Linked DNA regions of Alligator mississippiensis. The main gene of each other region encodes a partner of the protein of the gene in region 2 in a complex. Links are inferred from orthologs where the notes say so. Each region holds a gene or a part of one and is shown on either strand. Other genes may lie near its edges. The genes, in order: TMEM30A, ATP8B1 and TMEM30B.

What was found.
Region 1: the proteins of ATP8B1 (region 2) and TMEM30A are in contact, whole or in part, in a cryo-EM structure (PDB 7VGI), measured with the Homo sapiens proteins. The link is inferred for Alligator mississippiensis from reciprocal best matches to the Homo sapiens genes ATP8B1 and TMEM30A. Residues at the interface, in NP_001361314.1 of Homo sapiens: Thr138, His359, Trp362, Glu363, Val366, Ser369, Ser370, Trp371, Tyr372, Leu373, Tyr374, Asp375, Gly376, Arg384, Ile388, Phe418, Asn420, Trp421, Asp422, Leu423, Tyr426, Lys430, Asp431, Thr432, Pro433, His939, Trp942, Arg946, Tyr968, Phe971; in NP_060717.1 of Homo sapiens: Lys24, Thr25, Arg26, Arg27, Pro28, Asn30, Phe33, Lys34, Gln35, Gln36, Arg37, Leu38, Pro39, Ala40, Trp41, Gln42, Pro43, Ile44, Leu45, Thr46, Ala47, Val50, Phe54, Ile57, Phe61, Ile64, Ile68, Ile75, Phe119, Tyr121.
Region 3: the proteins of ATP8B1 (region 2) and TMEM30B are in contact, whole or in part, in a cryo-EM structure (PDB 7VGH), measured with the Homo sapiens proteins. The link is inferred for Alligator mississippiensis from reciprocal best matches to the Homo sapiens genes ATP8B1 and TMEM30B. Residues at the interface, in NP_001361314.1 of Homo sapiens: Trp362, Val366, Ser369, Ser370, Trp371, Tyr372, Leu373, Tyr374, Asp375, Gly376, Phe418, Trp421, Asp422, Leu423, Tyr426, Asp431, Pro433, His939, Trp942, Arg946, Tyr968, Phe971, Asn972, Gly973, Ser975, Ala976, Gln977, Leu1003, Gln1005, Phe1049; in NP_001017970.1 of Homo sapiens: Gly9, Ala10, His11, Gln12, Pro13, Asn15, Phe18, Thr19, Gln20, Gln21, Arg22, Leu23, Pro24, Ala25, Trp26, Gln27, Pro28, Leu30, Ser31, Ala32, Ala35, Leu38, Phe39, Phe46, Leu49, Leu53, Tyr109, Tyr111, Asn116, Phe117.

The regions. Positions count from the first base shown.
Region 1 is NC_081824.1:65,532,654-65,539,588, reverse strand, and holds the start of TMEM30A (cell cycle control protein 50A), read left to right. Parts: upstream 1-3,823; 5' UTR 3,824-3,893; coding exon 3,894-4,142; intron 4,143-6,935. UniProt on the Homo sapiens protein: Accessory component of a P4-ATPase flippase complex which catalyzes the hydrolysis of ATP coupled to the transport of aminophospholipids from the outer to the inner leaflet of various membranes and ensures the maintenance of asymmetric distribution of phospholipids.
Region 2 is NC_081826.1:283,466,001-283,472,920, forward strand, and holds the start of ATP8B1 (phospholipid-transporting ATPase IC), read left to right. Parts: upstream 1-3,821; 5' UTR 3,822-3,942; intron 3,943-6,920. UniProt on the Homo sapiens protein: Catalytic component of a P4-ATPase flippase complex which catalyzes the hydrolysis of ATP coupled to the transport of phospholipids, in particular phosphatidylcholines (PC), from the outer to the inner leaflet of the plasma membrane.
Region 3 is NC_081833.1:43,879,722-43,885,527, reverse strand, and holds TMEM30B (cell cycle control protein 50B), read left to right. Parts: upstream 1-3,927; 5' UTR 3,928-3,950; coding exon 3,951-4,991; 3' UTR 4,992-5,167; downstream 5,168-5,806. UniProt on the Homo sapiens protein: Accessory component of a P4-ATPase flippase complex which catalyzes the hydrolysis of ATP coupled to the transport of aminophospholipids from the outer to the inner leaflet of various membranes and ensures the maintenance of asymmetric distribution of phospholipids.

The DNA.
Region 1 (6,935 bases), on a different chromosome or scaffold from region 2:
TTCTGACAGCATTTTTAAGCTATTTTATGCGACTGTTTGCTTCCATGAAATTCTAATATTTGTTTGTTTTGTATAAACTTTATATGAAGTGAATTCATTTTAAGTGGGTATAAAGTGTCATGATATGGCAGCCTGTAAGGAAAAGACGAAAATGCCAGTTACAGCATCTAGAATGGATACAATCAATTTCATTTTTCTTATGAAGAATGAACCCTGCTAGGTTTTGGCTGTACTGGAAAAAGCTTTCTTGTTTAGTTGTTTTGCTAAACCCTCACAGTGATGCTGTAGCTTACATAATAGAAGATATTGAAAGCGTGTTCCACAGCCTTCTGACCTTATTTGTGAATGAATCACCACCTAGATTAAAAATGGCTTTAATCTAATCTGTAATGAAACTGGCAGTTATCTCAGTGAACACAGCAACCCTATCACAATGTTTTTTCTGGTTTTAACACTGCTTTTAACTTCCTGTTGTGCTGTCTGAAAGCCTCAGCTGATATAGAAAGTGTATTTTACTTGTTGAAATTTAACAGCATTCTGATATATTTTGCTTATGGCAAAAAATATTGTGCTTGCTGTAAGAACTTCCCCTAACCCCTACCAAAGACACAATTTGTAGAACTTTAAACAGTTAAAGTATTTTTGTTTTTTGTTTTTGTTTTTATCAGAAATGCAGCTAGGATTTATTTTCATGTATTTACTTTTTAAAATATTTTGAATGGAACTGTAGTATCCATATAATTGGGAGACATATTTCACTGGCTGTAACCTAAATGCAATAAAATGTATGTTGTTGAGGTTTTCCATACACGTTAAGCTTGTAATATTTGACTGGCACGCAGATGTATAGTATATTTTGTAAGATAACAAATGCCATCTGCTCGAAATGTATCCCATTTCAGATGACAAGTGAATTTTACCCTGTGAATTAAAGTTGCTGCCTAAATCTTTAAAATAGTCTCATCCATATTTGAATATTGAGGGCCTGAATGCATTACATGTTCACACTAGAGGAAACTGTTTTTGTACTAGTATAAACCCTTAACAATGTAAAACATGTTAGAATCTAGTGTAGTTACCCTGGAGAAAAATGGTAGTAAAAATACATACAGGTGGAGGTGTTGTGTTTGCAGTTATCTTAGGTAGTCATTCAATCATTGCAAACAGCTTATTATATGTGCCTCATCAATTAGTGTTGAGGTGCTTTAAAAGTGTTTACTGCAGTGGCTGCTTCAGGATCCTTGCCTGTCTGCTCTGGATTCCAGTGTAATTTACAATACTGTAAAAACCGATACACATCAAACTGGTAGTATCTTGGCCCTCTATTCAAAATATAAAAATTAAATATAGTAGCTATGTAATTACCTTCTGCTTTTGAGTACTTTGGGAGAAAGAATAGTGACAGATGGAACTAGAGACCATTCTGGCCTTGACACCTGGAAAGATCATGGAACAGGCCCTCAAGGAATTTATTTTGAAGCACCTAGAGAAGAACAAGGTGATCAGAAACTGCCAGAATTGATTCACTAAAAGCAAGTTGTGTCAGACCAACCAGATTTGCATCTATGATAGGGTGACAAGTTCTATGGAAGTGGAAAGCAGTAGATGTGATATACCTTGACCTGTGACCTGGTCTGCCACAGCATTCTCATTAACAAACCAAACTGAGGAAATACAGACAAGATGAAAGCACTGTAATGTGGATATATAACTAGTTGCATCGTGTTCAATGAACAGTCATCAATGACTCAATATCTCGTTTGGAGGAGGTATCAAGTGGGGTTCCTTGGGAATCTGTCCTGGCTCGGGTATTGTTGAACATTTTCTTAATGATTTGGATGAAAGAATTGAATATATACTTAGAAATTTGCAGATGACACTAAGTTGAGTGAAGTTGAAGACATTCTGTAGGGTAGTGCCAGAATCTAGAATGACCTGGAAAACGTGGAGAAAATGCCCACAATCAATCAGCTGAAATTCAATAAGGACAAATGCAAAGTGGTGCACTTAGGATGGAATAACTGCATGACAAATACAGACTGAGGAATGACTTGCTAGGTTGCAGAACTGAAGAGGACCTGGGGTTACAACAGATCATAAACTAAGTATAAGGGAACAGGGTGCTTTTGTTGCAAAAGAGCCAAAAGCAGGCTGATTTGTTTTAACAGGGTTGTCACTTGCAAATCAAGAGAAGTAATCCTTCCAGTGAGTCTCTCCACTTTTGGACCCTGCACTTCAAGAAAGATGTAGTAGACAGACTGGAGAGAGTTCAGTGGAGAGCTACAAAAAAAGATTAGAGGCCTGGAAAGGATGACTTACACGGGATGGCTGACAGAGCTAGGATAATTTACTCTGGAAAAGAAAGTCTCTGATAGTCTTTAAATACTTAAAGGATCATTATAGAGAGAACAGAGAAAAATAATTCTCTGTGGCTATGTGGGACAGGACTTGGAGCAAGGAGTTCAACATTCAGCAGAGGAAATTCAGGTTGGATATTAGGAAGAACTTTCTGTTTATAAGGGTGGTCAAGCACAGGAACAGAAGTTATGGACTCTCCATCCCTGGAAATTTTCAAAAGCAGTTTAGACAGATACTTGGCTGAGATGGTTTAGTCAGGGATGATCCCACCTTGAACAGGGGACTAGACTAGATGACCTTTTGAGGTCCTTTCCAGCCCTACTTTCCTATGATCCTAAGTTATACTAGAAATATTCTTTTCATACAAATACACTTGTTAAAGAAAATAATCAGTCTTCCATTTTACACCTCGGAAGCAGAGAGTATGCTGAACTCTCCCTTTCCTTTGTGTGCTTACTGGCATAATTGCAAACAAGTAAATAGTCTACAGAAACACTATCCCCATGATACTTATAGTAATTAAATTCAACCTCATCCACTTCAGTATCTTACTTAGGCACATATAATGCTACTGGGAAGGCAGGAAGAAGGGCCTGTTTGCTGTCTCACTTCTTTCCTCATCCCCCAAAATTACATTGGGTCTGTTTTAAAGCATCAGACCAAGGAGAAAAACAAATCACTCAGGTCCACTGAAGACCCAGGAACCAGGTGGGGGGAGGATTTACCCCCTTCTGCCCTTCACTTTGGGTGAAGTTACACATTATACACAGAACATACTAAATCTGTGGAATATTAAATGGTGTTAAAGCTACAACGTGCTGTGAGCAATCGCACATAAAGTAGGGTTACCGTATTTCCAATTCCAAAACAGAGGACACCTGTGGGGGGGGGGACCTCACTCCCCACCCGCAGACCCCTGGCCCAGATGGTGGCCCTCACTCCCCACCCAATCCCTCACCTCCCCAGGCTATGCTGGTGCCCCTCACTCCCAACACGCATCCCCCTGGCCCTGCCAGGGCCCCTCCTGACCCGCAGACCATCCCAACCGGGCCAGCGTGCGGCAGCTCCGGTTTTTGCGGGTGCTCGTGGAGCGAGTAGGAGGGAAAAGGGGAGGCCTGTGGCATCCCGCCCCACGCCCTGGGCTGGGGCTCCCACGTCATGGCGGGCGGCCCCTGGCAACATCTCCCGGCCAGCGCCCCACGATCAAGGGCACTAGCCCAGCTCCCCCGCTGCTCTCTAGAGAGACCGGGCCTGCAGAACGCTAGCAGAGCAACTATGCATGCGCCACCCCAGCTGCGGGGCCGCGTCTCACCCACCGGACTGCGCATGCGTAATACTCCTCCCTCTCGCGCTCTGACTTTCCCCTGACACGGCGCGTCATCAGCGCGCGCCCCAGCTTCTCCCCTTTTGCGCAGGACGGCGCGAGGCCCGATCACGTGGCGACGGCGGGCGGTGACGTTGTTGTGTCGTTGCAGCCCCTCCCCCCCTCCCCGGCGCGAGCGGCGGAGGCGGCGGCGGCCCCCCGAGCCCCCGCCATGGCGGTGAATTACAGCGCGAAGGAGGATGCGGATGGGCACCCGTCGGGCGGGCTGGGCGCGACGGGGGGCGGCGCGGCCAAGACGCGGAAGCCGGACAACACGGCGTTCAAGCAGCAGCGCCTGCCGGCCTGGCAGCCCATCCTGACGGCGGGTACCGTGCTGCCCGCCTTCTTCGTCATCGGCCTCGTCTTCATCCCCATCGGCATCGGCATCTTTGTCACCTCCAACAACATCCGCGAGTACGAGGTGCGCTGTGGGGCTGGGCTGGGTGCGTCCCCGGCCGGGCTGCCTTGTCCCTGCAGGCGGCTCCGGAGTGCACCCGGGGGAAGCCGCCGCGGCCCGGCCCGGCCCGGCCCGGCCCGGTCCGGTCCTGCCTGCAGTGTGGCCGCCGGTTTGAGCCTCCCTACAGGGAGGTGCGGCCCAGGTGGAGACAATCCTCGGGGTGGGAGGGGCAACGAAATGGTTTGGGGCCCGGGGCGCAGGGCTGGTGAGCAGAGGCTGAAGGACTTGGGCTTGTTCAGCTGTCTGGAAAAGACGGGAGTAAGAGGGGATTTGATAGTAGCCTTCAGCTACCTGAAGTGGGATTTGAAAGAGGATGGAGCTGGACTGTTCTCAGTGGTGGCAGATAACAGAATAAGGAGCAGTGGTTTCAAGTTGCAGGAAGGGAAGCTTAGGTTGGATATTAGGAAAAACTGTCTCACAAGGAGGGTAGTAAAGCACTGGAACAGGTTACCCAGAGAGGTGGTGGAAGCTCCATCCTTGGAGGTTTTTAAGACCCAGCTAGACAAAGCCTTGGCTGGGATGATCTAGTTGGGGCTGGTCCTGCTTTGAGCAGAGGGTTGGACCCAGTGGTTCTCAGCCTTTTTTTGTACCAGGACATATTTGTAACCATAGGTGGCAAGTCCTGACCCAGTGCCCCTCACTCCTGACCTGCTGCCCCCCACTCCCAGGCCCCCAGTGTGCGAGGCAGGGAGGCCCCAAGCAGCCCCTCACAGGCTGCAGCTCTGGCAGCCTGCAAGAGGGAAACCACAGCTTCCTCCATTTTTCTCTATTTTGAAAGTTTGCTCACAACCCTTTCGTATATTCTTGCGACCCACTATTGGGTTGCAACCTACAGGTTGAGAAGCGCTGGACTAGGTGACCTCCTGAGGTTCATGGATTCATAGATTGGAAGGGACCTCAGAAGATCATCGAGCCCAGCTCCCTGCACCAAGCAAGAAAGACAACCGGGGTCAAGTGACCCCAGCAAGGTGACTGTCCAGTCTCCTCTTGAAGATCTCCAGGGAAGGTGATTGCGCCACCTCTGGAGGGAGCTTATTCCATGTTCTGGACACCTTGGCTGTGAAGAAGTTTTTCCTAATTTTGAGCCTGAAACAGCCTTTCAGGAGTTTGTGACCATTGCTCCTGGTTTTCCCCAAGGGTGCCCTGCTGAACAGTTGTTCACTAAGCCTTTGATGTATGCCCCTGATGTAGCAGTAAGCTGCTACCAAGTCCCCTCTCAGCCTTCTCTTTTTTAGGCTGAAGACACCCAAGTCCCTCAGCCTTACCAGAGATTTGCATGGCAAGCCATATGAGGTCATACGGGTGGCCCTTCTCTGGACTCTCTCAAGCTTTTCCATGTCCTTGTTGAAGTGCGGTGCCCAGAACTGGATGCAGTACTCCAGCTGCGGTCTCACCAATGCTGAGTAGAGCTGAAGAATCACTTCTTTGGTTTTTCTGGAGATGTATCGATTGATGCACGCCAGAGTATTATTTGCCCTGGTGACTACAGAATTGTATTGCCGGCTCCTGTTCATACTGTGGTCAGTTATTACCCCCAGCTCTCTTCCATTCATAGTGCTGGTCAGATTGGCATTGCCAAGCCTGTAGGTGTGCAGGGGATTGTTCGTCCCCAGGTGAAGCACTTTACATTGCCCAATGTTAAACCTCATCTGGTTCTGATCCGCCCAACTTGCCAGCCTGTCTAGGTCCACATGTATCTGCAGCCTATCTTCAGGCATGATCGCGCTTCCCCATAACTTGGTGTCATCTGTGAACTTGGCCAGGTCCCTTCCAACCTTAATTTTCTATATCGCCCTTGTAGCACAGTCAGTACCCCACAGACACACTTCACTATTGAAGACTTTTAAGCAGCTTGATCTAGCCTGACCATCCTCCAGATACTGGTAAGGCCCATCACCCATATCTCAGTGCCAGGATGTGGTCCTCAATAGGGTTTTTGGAGGGTTTTTTTTAGCCAGGGATCTGCAAGTTGATTTATGGGGTAACTATAATACTAGGGGAACTTTGAAAGTGGAGAAGATGCTTGTTGTTTTAACATGTTGATTTAGACCACGTGCCTACGTACAAGAAGTTCAGTGCTAGCATGTGTATACACATATGCTTTGTCAAGCTGCTACCTAAATGCAGTACAGTTAATGTTTCTGTGTTTCATACCGTGGATGTCCTGACAGGCTACAAACAAGCTTGGAATAATGCACCAACGGTCTACTCGCATCAGGGGACATCTTGCAGTGATACTGTCTGTAATGCTGAAGTATACTAGGGAGGGCCCTTGGTGGTGCTTGTGTATACAGCTGGCAAGTAGCCAAAATGTTATCTTCATTTTAAACCTTTACACTGAGTTTAACAATTCTAAGTAGTAGAGGTGCACTGATACATCGGTCCATATCGTATCGTTACCAATAAAAGGAAAATTGAAATTATTGGTAATCGGCTTTTTTTGGCTGCTGTGGCCAATAATGTCACTTATAAATCTGTGCGTGCGCATAGCCACAGCATGCATGCAGCCACTGGGGGACTTGGGCGGAGGGAGTGGCTTCTGCTGCTCCATGCACCTGCAGGGTGAGGCATGTGGAGCACTTGCCCCCCAGATCTGTGAGTGAGGCAAGAGCAGGCTGCCACTGTGTGCTGGGGCTGGGGGTGGCACCAGGCTCTTTCTGGTGGGGGGGACTGGGGCTGGGCTAGGGCTGCACTTGGGGCAGGCAGCAGTAGTGCTGGGAGGAAGGGCTGTGGGGGGTGGCTACAGCCACCTCAGAA
Region 2 (6,920 bases):
CTGCCCTTAAAGTGGTAGGCACCAACAGTGCCCTGCCACAGATTTTAAAACAAAAATATCAGTGTGAAATATGAGCTTGTTCACAGTTCAACTAAAAAATTAATAATATTATAAAAATGACTGCAGTGACTGCACTTGATTTCTGTATGGTCTTACAACAAAGACACCACTTTGTCCACTTGAGAAGATGACCCAGACACTTGGCTCTTTCTCTATCCCACCAAAGCGTCCATGGAGGTATGTATAAGCTGCACCATTCATCTTTGTCACTGTTCCGGGCAGTGATGTATTATGGCAGATTATAATGAGTAGAGTAAATAGTCATAAGAATTAAGTTCATGTCCTCTCCCATTTAAGGTGTCTACACTGCCTGAGCAGGTTCAGGCTTGATATCAGGAAGCATTACTTTACGGTTAGGGCTGCCAGGCTCTGGAATGAGCTCCCAAGGGAGGTGGTGCTCTCACCTACTGGCGGTCTTCAAGAGGAAGTTGGATAGATATCTGGCTGGGGTATTATGATCCCAGCACTCTTTCCTGCCCAGAGCAAGGGGTCAGACTTCATGATCTGTTCAGGTCCCTTCCAACCCTAGAAACTATTAAACACCAGTGATTCCTGGTGTGCTGCAGGCAAAAGCAGCAGAAGTGTGCCATTTTTTCATATTTCTTTTTTTATTTATTTTAAGCATTTTAATATTTGTAATATTAACACACAATATTACATTTTCAAGTGAGAGTTAAAAAGTCAGGCTGCTTGAGTCTCTTCGGGCATGTCTACATGTTCCTGGCATGGTGCAATTACTGCACCGTGCGGGTGCTGCATGCTTAGATTTCCTTGCTATGTTGCCAAAACAATGTAGACCCATGTGATGGCTACATCTCTGTAGCACGCTGTATGGCAGCGTAGTGCATCGCTACATTGCCGTGGTATAACATGTAGACATGCTTCTTGAGTATTATTTTGATCCCTATTGAACTGAAGTAACTATTAAGATACAGCCATTCCTCCGTTGGGCTGAGAACTCACAACGCACATTTTTGAGTGTTTTGTGGAAAAAACACTAAGAACAGGACTTGACTTCCTGATATTCTACGTTGAAAAAACAGGTAGGAAAATATATTATTCTTTGAAAAAATAATCAGCTCATGCTCCTGTATCTAGCTGAAAGAAGCAAAACTCCTCTGCATTTCCAGGCCACCTTTAAGGTTCAATTTGCTAGCACCAGTAACAGAGGCTAATAACGAGGTCCCCAAAGTAAAACAGTGTATTCCAAGTGCCCTCCATAGGCTGCTTTTGGCCCAAACCATTTGAAAACATTGCATTTCCAAGGGGAAAGGACACAATTTTCCCTGACCCAACACAGGTTTGGGCCCACTACGACACAGAGGTGACCCTTGGTTCATGTTTCATGCCAGAGCAGAATTGAACAAGCTTGAAAAAAACTCTTCACTTCTTTCAGGAGACAAGGATTTCTGTGGGCAATATCTTTTACTGGACCAATTGCAGAGCTGGGTTAGAGATAGACAAGCTTTCAAACACAAGACATTCTTCAAGTCACTTCTTTCCTCATGGGTTATGAAAGAGGCATGGGTTTCTTAAGGTGATATCCTCTTTTGGGATCAAGTTAGACAAGCTTTCAAATGTAAGGCATTCTGTCATGAGCCAGGCCCAGCATAGTAAAGAAAAGTAGTGGGAGGGGGTGAGAGAAATTCCCAGGGGTAGCAGACTCACAATTAACAGAAGAAAAGAAGCTGATTCCTGGAAGATCAAGATCAATTAAAAGGGAGGAGGGTCATTCTTACCTTTCAGGTGTGGGGAAAAAAAAATCAGGAGTCAGGTAAAATATAATGTGCCATAAAACTTGGGAACAAAAGTTACATTTTTGTTCCCAAGTTAGCCTTTAAAAGGGTGTTAGATTTCCCTTGAGCAGGAGCATAGTGAGAGCAGAGAGGGATTGGTTATTCTGTGAGAAATGGGCTCCTAATTGTGTGCATCTGCTCTTTATCATACAAAAAACTAGAACTCTTGGTTCCAAAATGATATCTTTTATTAGACCAACTGGAAAATGGCAAGAAAATTGTCCTTTTCTGCGAGCTTTCGGGATCAAAGTCCCTTCGTCAGGCTCTGGGAAAAGTGTAGATGGTACAAGATGGTAAAAAGTCCCCATAGGTAGGAAATAAACTTCATTTTTGCACTTTCTGCCCTTTATCTATTTTCTGTAAGCCCTCGTTCTGTGCCGTTTCGCAGTGTAGTTTAGCAGAGTAGTTCCCCCATGTAGCTGCCCTGTGGTCACTAGATCAGGCATACCGCAGTTCAGGACAGGCATGCATGGGCAGATTTGAAACTAGGGGTGCAGATGGTGTGATGCATCATCACATACAGAACAACACACACTTTTCTCCAGTTGAAAAGAAACTAGAAGCTTTCATGCTAGGGGCCTGGGTCTGTATTATTCAGTTTAAGATTGAAGGAAAAAACTAATATAACCTAATTGGAAGGAGTAGAAAACCTGCAGGACTGGGAAACAGGAACTCCATTCCCAGGAGCAGTGCGTGGCGAGAAGGAAGCTGGCTGGACCAGGTAAACCTCAAGCCCATTACACAGAAGAGAACAGGGTTGCTAACACCTGTGGAATGAGGAGTCTAGAAGGAAGCCGATAGATAATAATGAGCCCTGAAGTCAAGTGACTTCCCCAGCACTGCCCGACTAGAAATGCTGCTGCTGCTTCCAAGCAGCTGGTTTTAAACTGTGGGTAGAGCATGAATCAAAGGAGGGGGTGCGAGCTGGGTTTGAATTACGTGGGGAACTCGGGGGGCTGAGCCCCCTCATAACAGACAAAAGCCGCCTTGCAAGATTTGAAAATCATAGCTGGGGGGGGTCTCCTATTGTATTGCTCCTTCACTTCATTCCAGGGGATTTAATTATAGCATAGTGATGGGCAGCCCAACTTTTTTGGCAGACCCCCCCAAGAATCAAAGCGCAACTGAACCCTGGGTGTGAGTACATGCACCCCGGCTGTCCCTGGAGGAGGGGGGGGGGGTGTGAATCAGGGTGACTGCCTTGGGCCCCACGCTTTGGGGGGGCCCTGTGAACAGTGACATACAGGTCTCACTGTGGTTGCTGTGCACCGTTGGCGCCACGCTCCAGCTGCTTGCTCCCCCGCCTCACCATGCTCCAGCTGCTCGCCTCCCTTCCCCGCTACACTTGCTACCCCCTGGCCCTGCACGGCCTGATATGCCCTGGGCCCCACACACCCCTGGGGATGGCTCTGACCCCTGGATCTGCCCAAGGTGCTGCTAGTCGAGGCCGCAAGGCCCGCAACCTTGACCAAGCAGCAGTCTGTTTTGTTCTGCCCTGGCGACGAGCCCGCAGAAGGACAAGGAAAGGGCTCGCATCCCCACCCGCGGACACCTCCAGCCCGAGGAACCGGGCCCCGCCAACTCTGAATCTATTCACACGCCATAATGACGCTGATATGATGCCTTTACATCAAATGCACGGGACTAGCACATTATTTTTTTAAGCAAAAAAACCCCACTGGACTACTGCATACGTCGGGTGAAACACTGATTCTTGATTTTCTCCCGGGTGACTCTCAGCAGTCTCCTTGGAGCTTGATATCCGATGCCTGGAGCCTCCCGGGCCGTGCTGCGGGGCTGGGGAAGCACCGCCACGGCTCTGCCTCCTGTCCCGTCCCGTGCTGTGCTGGAGGCGGAGGCGAGCGGGGAGTCCCCGCTACCTGGCGTCACGCGGGCGGGCGGGCGGGCGAGGGGCGGCGCTGCGGGCGGGCGGAGCGGAGCGGAGCGGAGCACACCTGGCGCGGGGCAGCGCCGCCGACCTGGGAACTCGTCGGGCCGGTCCCAGCCATGCGGCCGCGCCGCTGCCCCTGAGCGCGGCCCAGCCCCGCCGCGGGGAGCCGAGCCGAGCCGAGCCGAGCCGGGCCAGGTGAGGGCAGCGCGGGCAGCGCACCTGTGGGCCGGGGCGGGAGGCACCTTGCAGCCTGAGCAGCAGCAGCTCCCCTGCGCCTCCCCGGGGGAGACGAGCCTCAGCTCCCGGACAAGGCTGGTGGGCGCAGCGCGGTCTCGGTTTTGGACCAAGGCACAGAGCTGGACACGTTCCTCTCTGCAAGCTGTCGGGCACAAGCCCCCTTGGCCAGGCCGAGCAAGCGCCTGCCCACGGTCTGCGCTCTTCCTGGGTGGCCGGGAGAGCAGCCCAGCGCCCAGGGGAGAGAGCTGCTCAGTGCACATGGAAACGCGTGTGTGCTGCCTCTGGCTCGCGCTCTGCTTTGGTTAGTCTCTAAGGTGCGAATCCGCCACATCTGGAATGCGCCCGGCGCAAGGCTGTGGGCCCCACAGCTCATGGCGACGGGGGTCGGGCTGCGTGTGCCCTTCACCTCGCTCCTTTGGGCTAGCGAGGCTCGGGCGCGTGTGAGCGCCAAGGCTTCCGGGCCGGGGCTTGCGCCTAGGAAGCCTGCCCTGGGTTTGGGAGTAGCTGCAGCCCCAGGCTGAAGAGTCTGGGGGGAGGATGCTTGCCCCTGGTAGCGCCACACAGAGCTGAATGATTGAGGGCTCTCCATAGATAGACTTCGGTGCTGACTTGGCCCCGGACATGACATTTAAAAAAAAAACACCCAAAAAAACTACCCTGTCTCCTGCTAGACTTCATACTAAGGCAGCTAACCATGTCCCTTACCGATGGAGCTTCTTCCATGTACCAAGCTAAACATCTCGCACTCCTCCCGGGCCCCCAGTGTAAGAGGTATTTGCTAGTTTCCTCATTGTGCTCTCAGCGATACTTGCCTGTTAAAATGCCCAGTGATTCATTTTCAGAATGACTGCGCTGTAAGGTAAACATTAACTTGCTCAAAAAGCATGTTGCACCCATCTCTTGACAAAGCTGTTGTAGGGAATAGGCAAGGGGAGGATTGCCAAGTGTTTTTTTTTATTATTATTATTTTTAAATCCTCATCTTTCTCAAAATAATAGAGAGGATCTGAGTTGGAGAAAGGCAGATGGGAATTCATTCACTTGTTTGCCTTCTAGCACTAATGGCAAGATCTGGAAATTACTCTCAGTGCCTTGTGGTGCACAGATTTATGTTTACCTGAAGCCTTAATATTTGTCTGCGGTCCGCATATCAACAGTTCTTGGAGGGACTAGGTGGGCACCTACATTTGATTGTGCAACATCAAATGGCATGGTTTAATCTTAAAACAAAACAGCACAACACTTTTATTTTGACTGGTAAAATACACTGTAATTCTGATCAGAGAGTAGTTCATGAGTCGGACCAGGCACAATGTTCTTTAATATGACAAGGAAAAAAGCTCTTGTAACAGCAGAAATTTCCATCTCTCCAGTAATAAAAAAGCAATGACTTAACAGAAGGCAGCAGCTCTAGAGCATATAGATCTTAACTATACAGAGAGGGGACTGGTCCCTTTTCTTTCTCTACAGGGAATCATGAATATTTTGAGTTAATGCTTAAATTATGCTTAAATTATTTTGTTCAATATAAAGCTTTCCTTTTTTTTTCATAACAAAAATGTGCAGGAAAAATTTCTGACTGTCATACCTTTCAAAAATAGCCACTGCAGAAAGACGTATAAAAGCACTTTTGTTTTCAGTCTGATTCAAGAAATATTTTGTCTTTTGCCTCTACTCAGAAATGTAGTATGGTTAATTATTTTTTGCTCTATAGTTTTTGTTAGTAGTATATTTGAGCAGTGACTATGTAGCGGCATACTGTACATGCACAGAGGTGCTACATTAAAGAACTTACAATATAAGTATTGTAGAAATGGAAATTGAGCACTAATTCATAGCGCTGCTCAGTATATTTTAGGAATATTTGCTAACAAGTTGGTGCATATTGCTTGTCTGTTCTGGTGATCAAAGGAATGGAAAATAAGCCACAACTTAGATTAAGGCTGTGTGAATAATTGCTTAGCATTTACTTACCTGTTTGTTTAGTGGCTGAACTAGAAAATGGGAATGGATTTTTGTTTTGAATCAGCATGAAATGAAAATATTTCATTTTTATTTGGTGAACTGAAATTGCTCATTCTTGCTTAGGTGAAATATTTCCATTGACCCTAAACATTGACATTTTTTGTGTGTCTGGGAAAAAAAAAATAAAGGAGTTGACGAGGAAAAGGGAGGTAGTGGTTACTGGTTATGGTCTTGCTGTGCCTTTCTTAACCCAGTGGTTAGGACACCCACCTAGTTCAAGCCCCTCTGTATGTGATTCAGAACAGAGATTTTAAGTGAAAAACTCCTAGCTTTCCAGTTGATGTCATTATACTTATTATTAACATACTTATTCATTGGATCAGGGACTGGAAAACCAGGTGTTCACCTTGCCAGGTGAATAACTTATCCATCAGGCCAGAGAGTTCAGTGGCCTGAGGAATATTCAAGTATATAGTATAGAGGGGAATGGCTTCAACAGGAAAAACTGGAGAAACCCACCCCAGAATACCCTGAAACTTCATGGCTACTGTGCAGTATTCTTTTGGGAGGTAAGAGGCTTCAGTTCAAATCCCTGCTCTGAATCAGGCCAAAAGGAGCTTTTAATTCACATCTTCCATAACCAAGTGTCCAAACACTGATCTGGAGTTACTGAAGGCCCCTCTAGCATCATCTCTCTCTCTCTCTCTTTCTCTCTCTCCTGTATGAATGGGGGACCTCTCTCTTTCATTAATTTAATCTTAAAATCAGAATAGTTTGTTTCAGACGTATCAAAGTGAACTGCATCAACAATTCCAAAATAATTTTTATTCATCCATATCTATGTGGTGAATTTGACTTGAGTTTTATGTAGTTTGGAGTCTACCTGAAACTGGATTTATTTATTTATTTTTTAGAGAATGTTTGTCAAGGTTTAACCCTGCTCCTGATATCTGATAAATATGGTTAATCCAC
Region 3 (5,806 bases), on a different chromosome or scaffold from region 2:
TTTTGCCACTGACCTCATTTTGACATTTGGCTTAATTACTTCACTTCTAGGTGCTTTTGTTTAAGCTCTTTGGAACAAGAACTGTTTCTCAATATGTGTTGAGATAGTACTAGGATAAAGGGGCCCAGCTTGGTTGGGGTCTCCAGGCATTACTGAAATATAAATAAAAACCTTATTTTGTCTTTCTACATTCATACTTCCATCTATTATTTCTCTTATTTCCATCCTTTTCTGTTCCTTTCTCCTTTTCTTCTTGTCTCTCATTTGTTTGATTTTTTCCATTACATACCTTCCTAGTCTGTTTAATTTTTTAAAATATAGTTAGAGCTTGTCTACTCATGGAGTTATTCTTCATTCACTATTCCTTATGTCCACACGTAGACACTCTTATTGAGTAACAACTCCTTCTCTAGGTAAGCAAGACCACTCTCTCTTCTCCCCTCAACCTTCTCACTTTTTCCTTTTTCTGTGCTTTTGTCTATTTCCTTATGGAGCCTCTCCTGGATTTTTCGTATCTTCTTTGCTGAGAAGGCACCACACCTGCCTTTCTAACTTCAGAATAAAGCAGGCATATAAGAAATCAAAGATACAGTTTGAAATACATGTGGACAAGAAGTTATATGAAAGCAACTAGTTGTTTTTGGTTTTATATTTAGATGTTTATACAGTGAAACCCATGTGTTCGGCACTTGTCTTTAGTCATATGGAATAAAAATCTTTTATTGCTTCAGTGTATTTCAATTGGATTTTCACCTTTTTGTGATACAAATACTCCTTTCTTTTTATTGAAATTGCACTCCATTATAACCAAGTTCTGCTGAATTTGTCTTCTTGGAATTTATCAATTAGCACCTACCTGCCATGGCTTATCACAGGAGGTAGAGAAGCATCCATCCTTCTGAAACACTTTCAGTGCATCTAATGGACAGTTTACAAGGATGAGATGTTGGTCTAAAGAAACAATGTTCTTTTTCTGGACATATCCTCTTTCATTATGACAGTTGTGTTAAACACATTTGGCTCCATGGGCTGGTTGAGTGGTACAGGGCTGGTCCATGGGCTGGATGCATGGTGTGGAGCTGGCTCTGCAGGCTGGATCAGGCCCAGTGACTCTCCCCCGCCACCCCATGCCAGAACCAGTGCATGCAGTATACCAGACTGGCTAGGGTGGGTACCATGTGCAAACTGGATGGAACAGGAACTGTGTGTGGTATGCATCTGAGGCCCTGTCTATGCGGCTGGTCTGGTGTGTGTCACATGCAGTGTTTGGGTCAACTCTGGACCTAGGAACAGAACTATGGGCCAGATGATCTGGCTTACAAGCTATATTTCTGACATGCCTGCATTATGGTAAAACCCTAGAGTGAGAAATTCAGTCCTGTACAAAGGGCAAGCTCAAAGGCCATTCAGTTTTGCCAATTTCTGCAGTTTTAAATTTTGCAATATATGGTTTGCTTGTTAATGCTCCAGCTCCTGAAACCAGGATATTGCATGACAGTGTCTGCTTTCAAGGAAAAACCATGCTTCAATTTTTCAGAGAAAAACACTACATTTCCAGTTCCTAGGATTGCAAAGAAAAAATGAAAAATGAAAATGAGGCCTTGAGACTCGGGAACCCGAGTCTCAAGAGCCAGAAGACAACTAGAAACAAAACAAAATCCCACACTTTATTATTTAAAAAAACTCAAGATTATTATTCCTTCTTCTGATTGTTTTGGGGTCTGATCTTTGAATGTTTGGAAGTGGCAATATTGCATATAAATGGTGTAAGTGAGGATGATGATAATAATACAATACCTACCCCTTAGCTATCATTCTATCAGCAGGTTTCAAAGCACTTTAGGAGGTTAATATCAGTATCTGCATATTACAGATGGGGAAACAGAGGCACATGGGAATGTAAATGGTTTGTCCATGGTCACCTAACAGACAAGGTCCAGGAACACAACCCAGATACAAGTCCCAGTCCAATCTGTACCTACTATGCCCACACTACCTCCCAGTTCTCATGCTATTTGCAAATAGATTAATTTCACACACAGTGACCCATAGATTAAGAAACTGAATTATTTATTTTTAAGACAATACTGTTATAAAGAATAAGCAGGTTTTTTTTTCTTTCCAGGTTAAGTCTTTGGATTCCAGCTTTCAGTTCACACAGAATTTGTTACAGTTAAGTTATAGCTCCTTAAATGTAAGAGGTTTGCAGCAAAATCACAGAAACTTAAGTACAAAACAGAGTTGTTTTAATACTAATATTACCTTTCAAACATTCTCCTTTGTTTTTAACTATTTTCTTTATTCACTAAAAAGAAGCTGTTGTGTAGGAGAGAGTAGGGAGAGGAGGTAGAATTTGTATTACTGTTCTGTTAGCTCAAAAATAACAGAAAATGATTACTGCTGTTTGTTGAAGCATGTCCTTGGAGATTCCTACTTTGTACTGTGAGATTAGCTGATAGAGGAAAACAAAAGGACTTACCCATTCCTGGAAATGACACACACAGTCCCCTTGTTTCTACATTGCACAGGAACTTTGCTAATTTATTAACAAAACAACTATGGATAAAGAAAAAAATCTTTAGAAATTGTGCAAGTGATTTTGTGCCCATTGATGCATGTTGGGTGACAAATTCTAGTGCTTCTCGCGGGATGTAAACACACTGGTTCTTAGTATATTCAGAATTGGCAAAGATGTATGAAAATGCAGCTAGCAGCATCTGTATTGCTGGAGTTTTTTTTCAAAATGGCTAAATAGATTGGCAGAGGACAATCAGTACCCCAAGTTAAGTCTTATTTTGAAAGTAGTTAGCTTACTTAGTAAGTGTCAAAGTGTAGCAGAGTTACTGTCCTGGCTGTGTGTTTCTTGTACACAACCCAGGGAGTCCCCAAAGGGAAGGAGTTTGTTGTAGGAGATAATGTGATTTTTTTTCTTGCTTCTCTTGTCTGCAGCATGGAATTTTTACAAAAAAAACTAGCACAGGTACAGATAGGGCCTAGGTTAAACGGCTCTGTGGCATCTTTATGTATCTAAGATTTAGTGTATAAGGTACATCTCTATTCTGTCTTCTCTCTGGCCTTGGTACAGTGCTGCTGGAGTCAGAAAACTATAGTGTTCTCACCGTTGTAAATGGTGGTGTCACAGCCTCTTGTAATAAATAATAGCCTGAGAAATACAGAGTAACTAGAAACAGCAACACTAGAAACAGGAACCAATAAGTAATCAAGAGATTTGGATTTTGTGTTTAATGAACATGTGCCTGTTGGGGATATGCTTCCTTGTGTTTGCCCCCCATGATCACACTGCAAAGGCATGTAAGAGGCACTTGGCAGCTGCCTAAGGACATGGTGACATGGTATAATTATGGAACCAGCCGAACAACAATTCAGAGCTGGTGAACGGATGGCATTTTAACTGTATTTTGTGAAGACTGAAGTCAAGAACATCATTGGACACACTTGGGAAAGAGACTGTCAGACTCTCTGAGGCACAGCCACTGCCACACTAGTGGACTTATGTCTGGCTGCTGGCGTACACACCTCCACATTACCCTCGTGCCACATCAGTGCCCACTGCTGCTTCACAATCAAATGGCTTGAGCACAGCCCGCCAGTGGCTGCGGTCGCACGGAGCCACCGGGTCACGCGTCCCTACGAGCATCTGGCGCTGGACAGGGGCGAGGCACGTGCAGCCCCAGCGCGGCTTCCCCGCCCCGGCTGCCTGGCACGAGGGGCCCCAAGTGCTGCGCTGCCGCTGGGACAGGGCTGCTCCGTTGTGCAGGTGTGAGCTTCCGCCCGCGGTCACAGCCCGGCCCTGGCCTCGCGGAAGCGCCTCCCAGACCGCAGGCCCCGACATGCCCGAGCCTGGAGCCGCCGGGTCTGGAGCGCAGGGGGAGGGCTCAGCTCGGCGGGGCGGGGCCAGGAGCACCTGCGGCCGCCGGGGCGGGGCGGCGATGGCGGCGGCGCGGCGGGAGCGGGGGCGGCCGGACCGCACGGCCTTCACGCAGCAGCGACTCCCGGCCTGGCAGCCGCTGCTGTCGGCGGGCATCGCGCTGCCGCTCTTCTTCACGCTGGGCCTGGCCGGGCTGGCCGTGGGGCTGGGGCTGCACTTCTCCTCGGGCACCATCCGCGAGCTGGAGCTGGACTACACGGGCGCCCTGGGCAGCAACCAGGACTGCGCCCGCTGCACCAATGCCAGCGCCACCTCCGGCCCGTGCCTCTGCACCCTGCACTTTGAACTGGCCGAGCCCTTCCCGGGGCCGGTGTGCCTGTACTACCAGCTGTCCAACTACTACCAGAACCACCGGCGCTACGGTGTGTCCCGCGACGACCTGCAGCTCAGCGGGGACCCCTGGGGGCTGCGGCACCCAGCCGAGGAGTGCTGGCCCTACCGGCGGGACCCGCGGGGCCAGGCCGTGGCCCCCTGCGGCGCCGTTGCCAACAGCCTCTTCAACGACACCTTCGCCCTCCACCGCCTGGTCAACGGGTCCTTCATGCCGGTGCCCCTGGACAGCCGGGGCATCTCCTGGTGGACCGACTCCAACGTCAAGTTCCGCAACCCGGAGCTGGTGAACGGCAGCCTGGCCACCGCCTTCTGGGGCACGTCCAAGCCCCCCAACTGGCCCTGTGCCGCCTACCTGCTGGATGCTGGCAACCCCAACAACACAGGCTTCGTCAACGAGGACTTCATCGTGTGGATGCGCACCGCCGCCCTGCCCACCTTCCGCAAGCTCTACCGCCGTGTCCACCAGGGCAACTTCTCCGCTGGCCTGCCCCGTGGAACCTACCGCCTCGACATCAATTACAGCTACCCTGTCCTCCCCTTCAAGGGCACCAAGAAGGTCATTCTCAGTACAGTCTCCTGGATGGGCGGCAAGAACCCCTTCCTGGGCATTGCCTACCTGGTCTTTGGCTCGGCTTGCATCCTCACTGGTTTTGTCATGCTGGCTGTGCATATCAAGTACCAACAGCAAAACCAGATGGATGAGGATTAGAGAAAGCTGGAGGTCCTAATGCTGCTGGGCATAGAAGTTGTGGGGAGGAATTAAATTGCAGCTAGTCACCATGCGTGGTATAATTCTGACCTCATGGGGAGTGCTCTGAAAAGAAGAACTAGGCCTTTTTTTGTTTTGTGACAGATTAAATTAAAATACTTTTTTTTCCCTAATAGAAAACCAAGAAACATCCAGACCTGGTTAGAATGGCTGAACTCGTGGTTCATAATGTGATAAGAGAATATTATGTGCCTAACAGGTTACTGTTGAGCTAAAACTCTTCTCTACTACCCACATTTCTAATGACCCAGACTTATTTCTTATGCCTGAAAGAACTTCATACAATGCTGTTCCTCGTTTACTGCTTTCTATTCTGAACTTCTGTGTTTCTTTAAACATTTTTTCGCTACAAGTGAAACTTAATATGTTGTTTTCATTGTTACATGAAAAGGAGTAGTCATGGGTTATTCATTTGCATAATTGCCTGGAGTTTGTGCTACAAACATCATAATAGCTTTTAAAATCTTCCAATTCCATTTACAAGTCTTCAAATTTTTTTAGGTCTCACTAGCCTTTATGGCTCTTAGCATATCAGTGCCTTCAAACCAATAAAAGCAATATTTAAATGAGTATGCATAGCAAGACCAAAGTGCTGACCTCCACATCAGTGTCATTTGAATCATACTTGAGATAAGTTGTTAGCTGTCTTGAATTACAATAATACTTTAGTTCCCTTAATTTTTGTAGAAATTTAGATAGGGAGTGTAAAATGATCTTAAACTGAAATGAAAATAAAACACCCTGAACTGGAGCTG